Daphnia pulex: one gene and its partner. The protein of the gene in region 1 binds, or shares a complex with, the protein of each later gene. Links are inferred from orthologs where the notes say so. Each region holds a gene or a part of one and is shown on either strand. Other genes may lie near its edges.

Region 1 (3,662 bases):
ATCAAATTTATAAAATTCGTCTTTGAGTGTACCTAGTAAATTCCAACTAATACGATTACCTCCAAATAAGAAACGATATCATCGATGTTGTCAATCACTTGGTCTCCATCTTCAAGGGACGGAACACGGCGCAATCCGCGTTGATGAAAAATTTCTTTGGAAAAAAGTTATACATTTATTTTTAGTCCATAAAAGTTTATGCGAATTTATCCCAACTACGGATCGTGTACCTGGTGGTTTAGCTAAATTTACGGTGACGGATCTGAAGTGGAAGGGATGCTGTAGAGATTTCGTCAATACTACCATGAAGGCTCTCTGTAATAATTGTAATAAAATCTTGTTAACGTAATCCAGATCCCCATTTAACTAAGAAATCAACGAACCTGACAAAATGGACAGGCTCCGTAGCGCTTTCCGTCTGCTCCCGCCTTGACGTACAACACCTAGCAACAAAAAATGACGTCATCGGAAAATAAAAAATGAAGCAAACTGGTAAAAACAGAACCCTTACCATCATTTGTTGTGAACTTTGAACATCTAAACTCATTTTTTCCGCTGCGCTCAAAATTTCAGATTTATTTACAAGGGAAGTCACTCTTGTATTTACCAAGTACGCAGACGTAAAGCACCCGTAAGGAAATATGAAATAGTCTGGCAGCTGCTGTACAGCCGCGATGAGAAACTCACACTTCTAAAACCCGAATAAGCCAAAATTTAACCAACAGTCTCCAGCAGGTTTATTTTTGGCCGCCCTAAACATGCACACTAACTAAATGAACCGTTTTCTAATATCAGCAGTCAGCACAATGTCGAAGTAGAACCAATAAAGAAGCAAAGATACGGGTGTTGAAGCTTGCGACACTGTCTGAAATTCGCAGTGGTGAACACAAGAAGAATGCTCGGCACCAAAAACACGAGACTAAAGGCTCTATCTGCCCATATACTAGCAGCTAACCGACGCTCAACATGAAATAAGCCCGAGGGACCACAACAAATGCTGTTTCCCAGTTCTTTTTTTATCTAAAAACTTTCACTCACTTCTCTTCCTAACCATCCATCCCCCCTCTCTCTTTTGCCATCCGCAACCCGCAAGTCTTTTTTCGGCTTTCAAGTCGGAATTGTTTTTTCACATGCTGTCATTTGTGCTGGTTTGACTCGACCTTTTTCATGTTATTGTTTATTGTACTTTTTTTGCTTTCAACCCACAGCCGAAATATGTGAATAATTAGTTCATCCGTTGAGGGGGGGGGGATGGGGTGCGGAAGGCGGAATTGACTGGTAAAGTGCGAGATTGAGGTGCGGATTCTCCGCACTTTACTTATTCTCCCCATCCGGACACTTTTGTAAAAGTTTGAATTTTTTAAAGAATTAATTATAGTATTTCTGACCTGATCTAAAGCAACCAAACCTAACCAGCTCTGTTTTAACTATTATCGCACAATCAAAAGTGACAATGTTGCTAAACTTACTAAACACAGCTTACTACAACATTAAGTCACATTATAAAATGAAACTAAAGTTATTTGTACTGCTGAATAGTGAATACGATTAATTTTTATTTTTGCGCCCTAGTAGTTTTGAACTATTTGAAATGCATTCCCCATTCCCATTGTTTCTGTTTCCGCGCAACCATATTTTAGAAGCTCCGAATAAGTTGCGCGGACTGCTTACAGACTACAGTGAATCTCATTCTTCTATACAATATACCTTGGCTATGCTATCAGACGTTGTAGTAGGTTATTAAAGAAGATCTTTTGGTAAATACAGCTTACATTTTATCATTTTTTTCCGCAAATGTAAGAATAACTGTCTCATTTCTGGTTCAATAGTCATTTATGCGAAAATTGTGGTGCCGAATATGACGACTGACACTAAACCTACCAGTTTCAACCCCCTTGAACAGTTTGTACTGTTAGCAAAGTCGGCTAAAGGGGCTGCAGCTGTTGAATTAGTAAAGCAGGCTTTAGAAGCTCCTGGCGTTTATGTGTTTGGTGAACTACTCGACATGCCCAATATTACAGAGGTGAATTTTTTTTATGTTTAATCGATGAAATTTTCTCATTTATGCATATTTTTTTCTAGCTTCAAACTGATCAATTTCAACCTTACTACAATTTGCTGAAATTATTTGCCTTTGGAACATACAGACAATATCTTGAAAACAGTAGTTCATTGCCCGAGCTAACACCATTTCAGCAGCAGAAACTGAGACACTTAACAATTGTGACATTATCTGAAACCAACAAAGTGAGTATTGCTATCATTGTTGCATGCAGTCATCAATGGCATCTTAAGTTAAAGTTCACAGCTACTGTAGTTTGTTTTTATTAATTGTTGTTTCAATTTTAGTGCATTCCATATGAAGTGTTGGTCCAACAACTTGATATGAAGAATCTCAGAGAACTTGAAGATCTTGTCATTGAAGCCATCTATGGAGGTTTGCCACCAAAATTATTAATTAATACATCTTGATTTTATCATCAACAATTATTCTTTCAGACGTTATTCATGGGAAATTAGACCAGCGTAACGGTCGTTTGGAAGTTGATTTTGCAATTGGTCGAGATGCTCAAGTCAAAGACATTGGCCGAATCATTCAAACTTTGAACGATTGGTGTGAAGCATGTGATGCAATTCTCGGAGCCGTTGAAACCCAAGTCATGAATGCAAATTGTGAAAAGGAAAAGCATATCAAGCATCGTGTCGCTATCGAGGAGGAAGTTTTGAATATTAAAAAAACCTTGAAATCCCAAGTATATCTAGCACTACAATTATTTGAAATTCTTAAAACTAAATCTGAATGCTTGAAACTTGACAGATCCAGGAAAGCGATGATATATCTCTTACTGGTGAAACGCGCAATGAAATGTTAGGTGACAAAGGTAAGAAGCTTGCCAAGGGAAAAGGATTGAAGACCAATGTTCCAAATAAGTTTTGGAATAAATCCTGAAAATTTGTAATTACTCCTTAATGTTTGTATTCACTTATCCCTGAAAGCATTGGACTTGATTCACCCATGGTATTGTTGTCTCAAAGAGTGTTCGCAATGAAATAAATAAAGAAAATTTCTTTAACTGCACTTGCTGACGAGCATTGATATTCATCATCCGCCAAGGCCAATGTCTATTTCTAGGAACTCGGAACTTGGCGGTTTTTCTTGTTCAAATTTTAGGTAGCTGTACAAGCATTTTAAATGCAGTAAAGAGATTCAGTCATGAAACCAAATAACAGTTGTGTACATATCTTCACGCTATTTTCAAATGGAAAACAAAAAAGCTTGGATTGCGCAACAATTTCGTCACAGTATTTTCATTTGTTCCAGACGCTGACTTTGAGCTTTGAAGTACCGTTCTGCCATGTAGGTAACTTTCTCGATGTATGTAATCCCTTTTGTGATCTCTTCCCCTATTCTGATGACCAGCAGACTTTTCTCTTCTAACCCTGTGATGTCACATGCTTTTTGGCTTAGAGTAGCGCAATTCACGCACGCATCGTTGAACGCAATCAATTTAGATGCGCTACCTACTATTCGTACTACTGGATGAGTACGGTAGAGGGCTCTCTCAGTTTTTAGATTTGTATTGCCGCTGTAGTCCCGAAGCACACGAAGGGTGCGTCCGTTTTGTAATCATCGAGTCATTTGATCACGTGATCTGTACAAC
Region 2 (4,119 bases), on another chromosome or scaffold:
TTTGTGTGCACCTTATGCGGACTTTCTCGAAGCGCAGAGAAAGAGAGAGCAGGCTCACACAGCCTCCTTTTTGTATTTTTCCCGTCTGCATTTTTACCGGTCACCAATGTGGGACAGACAAAGTTCATTGGAATGCGCACATCTTTTCTCTTTTAATGTCCTTCCTTTATTTACAACCTTTCTCCTACTTATTCGTCTACTAGGCCACTTAGCAGACACACATCTCCGCCTGCCTCCAAACAGTTTGGCGTTTTTCGTTTTTAATCTTATCACATCAATGCGCGCGCGCCCTCTATCTCTTGGTGGTAGACACTCCTCGAAGTTGGGGCTCTCCATTCATCCGCCGTTGGACCAAGCAAACAGTATCCAGTCGGCTTCGGCCATGTGTGGGTGTGTTGCTCTACCGACAGTGTGAATTTTCGGCTTTTAAACCTCGAGACTAGTTTTCTCAGTGATCTGCCAGATATTGTTTGAATTTCTGAGATCATTGTGAAAGCTGATTTTGTGGATGGCCTCGACTAGATGCATAGACAGACTGTCTGACTTTGGAATTTATGTGTGTTGGAAATCGTGTACAGTTTTATGTGTGATGTTTATCAATACAATTTTTGAAAAAAAAAAACTAAATTTTTGTTTTTAATCCGTGTATGAATCCTCACTTAGTTATTTAACAAAAAAATGTGAAAGTAATTATTTTATCGAGACGTTATGGATTAGTTGGTGTTTTAAAGAGCATCATAGGTGATCACATGGAGAAGGAGGGAACTTTGGTTGCCGCACCGGCCTGAAGGGCTGACGAAGCTGAACTCCTCCCTCCATCGTCCTCTTCCATGGCACCTGACGCCTTCTTCACGAAAACCGGGTTCGTGCAGATGGCTTCCTCCATCTTCTGCACCTGCATGTCCAGCTCGATGCAAATGTTGACCTACCCAAACGAGTAGCCATGAGGTCAATTATCTGGTACACATTTCTGCCGGCTACTATCGAAATACCTCTTTCTGAACGCGCTCAACAGTTGAAGTGCTGTCGTATTTGTCCGGATTGTCGTGAAACAATACCATCCCGTCTTTCTGGCTAATGCTGGCGTAAATATCCCCATCTTCAATCTTTTGAAGAAGAAAACAAACACATAGTTTGATCGTCATCTTTTAGCATCTTGAAAGCAAATACCATGGTCAAGACGAGTTTTTCCGCTTCCATCACGCTGGGCAACTGAACTCGCAGGGCCATATCGCTGAGCGAAAGCGTCAGAAAAGTCTGAGTCAGTCGCTGAATAATCTTCTTGTAGAGCGATTGTTGTACTTGTTTGGCCAGACCCCAGTTATTTTCACGCTGTAACAATTCTCGGTGCTTTTGGAGGACAAGTTCCAGTGACGTCGGCTTGTTGGTAGCAAATACCGTCGTGATTTCGTGGTAGATGGCGCTCATGGGTTTCAGGAGCCGATTAACCACTTGAGATGTGTATTTGGGAAGAGGTGCCACCTAGTCTCGTTTCAAATGACAATGTGAATCGGAAATTGAACGAACATTGCGCGACTATTTGATCCATACCTTTCCATGAAGAATGAGTGAGACGAGAATGTACTTTTTGTACGATTCCAGCATGATGTGAGATACGGCTGAAGATGGTGTCGTCAAAGCTACTTCGAATGAATACAGGGCTCGCTCAAAGTTTTTGACAGCCATGTTGATAACTCCCCCATAGTAGTAGTAGAGCAAGAAATGCTTGGCATCAAAATATCCATTCTACAAACACATTTGTCATTAGAATTTTCTGTAATCAGTGCACTAGAACCTGAAAAAGCAATTTACCTCTGAATTGATTTCAGAAATCTCAACATTCAAAAACTCCAAGGCAGGTTTTAAATTCTGTGCCATCAAACAGAGTTGGAGAAGGCTAGCGTGGATAGACGTCAGCTGTGTTTCATTCATTCTGGCTTTCCGAATAGCTTTGGTAAGGGGAACAATACCCCTGGCAGGTGTCTCTCGTTCCACTAGGCATTGGGTAAACTGGTTACACAGCTCAGCGACTGCACAGAACAATTTATTATGAATTATTCAATTGTAAGAGTGCAATATTAGAAGCTTACATGAGTCAGGAGCACAGCGAATTTGTTCACCATTGCAAACTGTGATGAACTGACTGACTTGACTGATGAGCACTTCGGGTTCTGGAACTTGAATTCCTTGATTTTGAGCTGCATTTTGGTTGAGAATCATGAACTTTACCATGTAAATTGCCAAAACACCTAGACTGTGAAGTTGTGGGTCAAGAGTATCCAGAACAGTGTCTAAATGTTCGGAATTCCTCATGAGTACGTCGGGCGACTTGCCGAGAAAATCATATAGTTCTCGCCAGCTTCCTATCAGTTTGATACATAGAAAATTGAATATTTTTAGTGTCCACAAATTATGAAATACAACTGTCGTTCAAAACAAACCTTCGCCAGAGAGATTACGAACAGAATTTACAAAATGTTCTAGGGATGACGCCATATTCAAATTTGAAGAATATTAGATTGAAAGATATTGAATTGAAGAGAGAAATATTTGGATGAGCCAGCAAACGTCGTCTGCAGTTGTCTTTATTCGTTGATAAACGCGCCAATAGAGGGTATATTCGTAGATGCAAGTAGCACCACTGGCGGGTGGCGGCAGGATCACACAAACACTTTTACTGAATAATTTAAAAACAAAATGAACATAATTATAAGCGAAATAACCGCGATTTAATTTTATTCTAATTTGATGATGAATAATCGAAAGTAATCAAGTTTTTAATCAAATAAGAAACTTTTTTTATGAATCCCTGCCATCTATCATCAATGAAGTTGAAATTTTAGCAGACGTTAAAAGTTGAAAGAGGAAAAAAACAATAACAAATCCCATTTTCGCCTACTCTTGAATTTGTTGTGACAATTCTATGTATTTCTGGTATTTTTACAAATAGTTCGAATTTTGTTGATTATTTTCCTGCTTTGAATAGCCATTAGTATTATAATGGCAGTAAAATTTGGTTTAAGTTTGAATCGAATTCTCCAAAGAGCCTTACCTCAAGTTCATAATTGCAAGCTACTGCCATGCTTACAGATCCGTCACATTCATATAAATAGTCTTCATTTTAAAAATAAAGAACCCAACGAACTGATTGTTAGACCTTCTATGTTTTATGTTCCAGAAGGAGATAGAAATAAAGACACATTCTTAGAAGCTGTAAAAATTTACACAACAAGACCAGGGCCCCGTAGGGCACAAGTGGAATTCATCTATGCTGCTCTGAAGGAAATGGAAGAATTTGGTGTGCATCGTGACCTGGAAGCATATAAAGACATCATTGATATATTACCAAAGGGAAAATATATTCCAACAAATATGTTTCAAGCAGAATTTATGCATTATCCAAAACAACAGCAATGTATAATAGATGTTCTGGAACAGATGGAAAACAATGGTTAGAATATCTTTGCCTCAAATCAGTTTAAATTATTTTATGTGTTTTTATTTCATTTTTAGGTGTTTGTCCAGATAAAGAAACTGACCAAATGGTTCTTAATATTTTTGGTCGCCATGGAGCTCCCACCAAAAAACTTAGAAGGATGGCTTATTGGATGCCTAAGTTTAAAAACCAATCTCCATGGGCACTCCCCCAAAAGATTCCTAACTCAAATCTTGAAATAGCAAAACTTGCTGTCCAGAGAATGGGTAGTGTTGATCCAGCTACAGAGATGAACATTTTTCAGACTAGTGAGTTGCAAGACGCCATTGACGATACTTGGATCGTCAATGGTCAAAGCGCCAATCAAAGAGACCTTTTAGCCAAACTCAAAGAAAAGCAAACCGTCTACGTTGAAGGCGCTTTCACAATTTGGTTAAGAAGAACCAGTATAAATTACTTTATTTTGCGTTCTGAACCTGTTCCGTTAACGGAAGAAGAGCAGAAACAGCAGAATGAATATGATTATGATGGTATGTGTACTGAAACAGTTTAGTTTCAATTTTCTTCATTCTAGTTTTCTAATTTTATTCTTCGATTTGTTCAAGATGTAAGTGAACTGCGTTCGTGGATGTTTGGGGAAGAAAATCTTACTCGGAAAGATATCGTTGTTCAACCTTCAGTTC

What was found.
Region 2: COP9 signalosome complex subunit 7b-like (region 1) and COP9 signalosome complex subunit 3-like share a complex: the UniProt entries of both Drosophila melanogaster proteins name them as parts of the CSN complex. The link is inferred for Daphnia pulex from reciprocal best matches to the Drosophila melanogaster genes CSN7 and CSN3.

What each region holds. Positions count from the first base shown.
Region 1 is NC_060017.1:4,235,227-4,238,888, forward strand, and holds COP9 signalosome complex subunit 7b-like, read left to right. Parts: upstream 1-1,470; 5' UTR 1,471-1,757; intron 1,758-1,829; 5' UTR 1,830-1,858; coding exon 1,859-2,023; intron 2,024-2,082; coding exon 2,083-2,247; intron 2,248-2,349; coding exon 2,350-2,437; intron 2,438-2,499; coding exon 2,500-2,753; intron 2,754-2,818; coding exon 2,819-2,950; 3' UTR 2,951-3,079; downstream 3,080-3,662. Other genes in the region: chloride intracellular channel exl-1-like, read right to left, coding at 60-154, 231-315, 384-443, 512-547. UniProt on the Drosophila melanogaster protein: Component of the COP9 signalosome complex (CSN), a complex involved in various cellular and developmental processes.
Region 2 is NC_060018.1:6,888,370-6,892,488, reverse strand, and holds COP9 signalosome complex subunit 3-like, read right to left. Parts: upstream 2,602-4,119; 5' UTR 2,497-2,601; coding exon 2,442-2,496; intron 2,364-2,441; coding exon 2,091-2,363; intron 2,031-2,090; coding exon 1,813-2,030; intron 1,747-1,812; coding exon 1,552-1,746; intron 1,483-1,551; coding exon 1,171-1,482; intron 1,107-1,170; coding exon 993-1,106; intron 926-992; coding exon 746-925; 3' UTR 628-745; downstream 1-627. Other genes in the region: evolutionarily conserved signaling intermediate in Toll pathway, mitochondrial-like, read left to right, coding at 3,001-3,451, 3,514-3,966, 4,042-4,119. UniProt on the Drosophila melanogaster protein: Component of the COP9 signalosome complex (CSN), a complex involved in various cellular and developmental processes.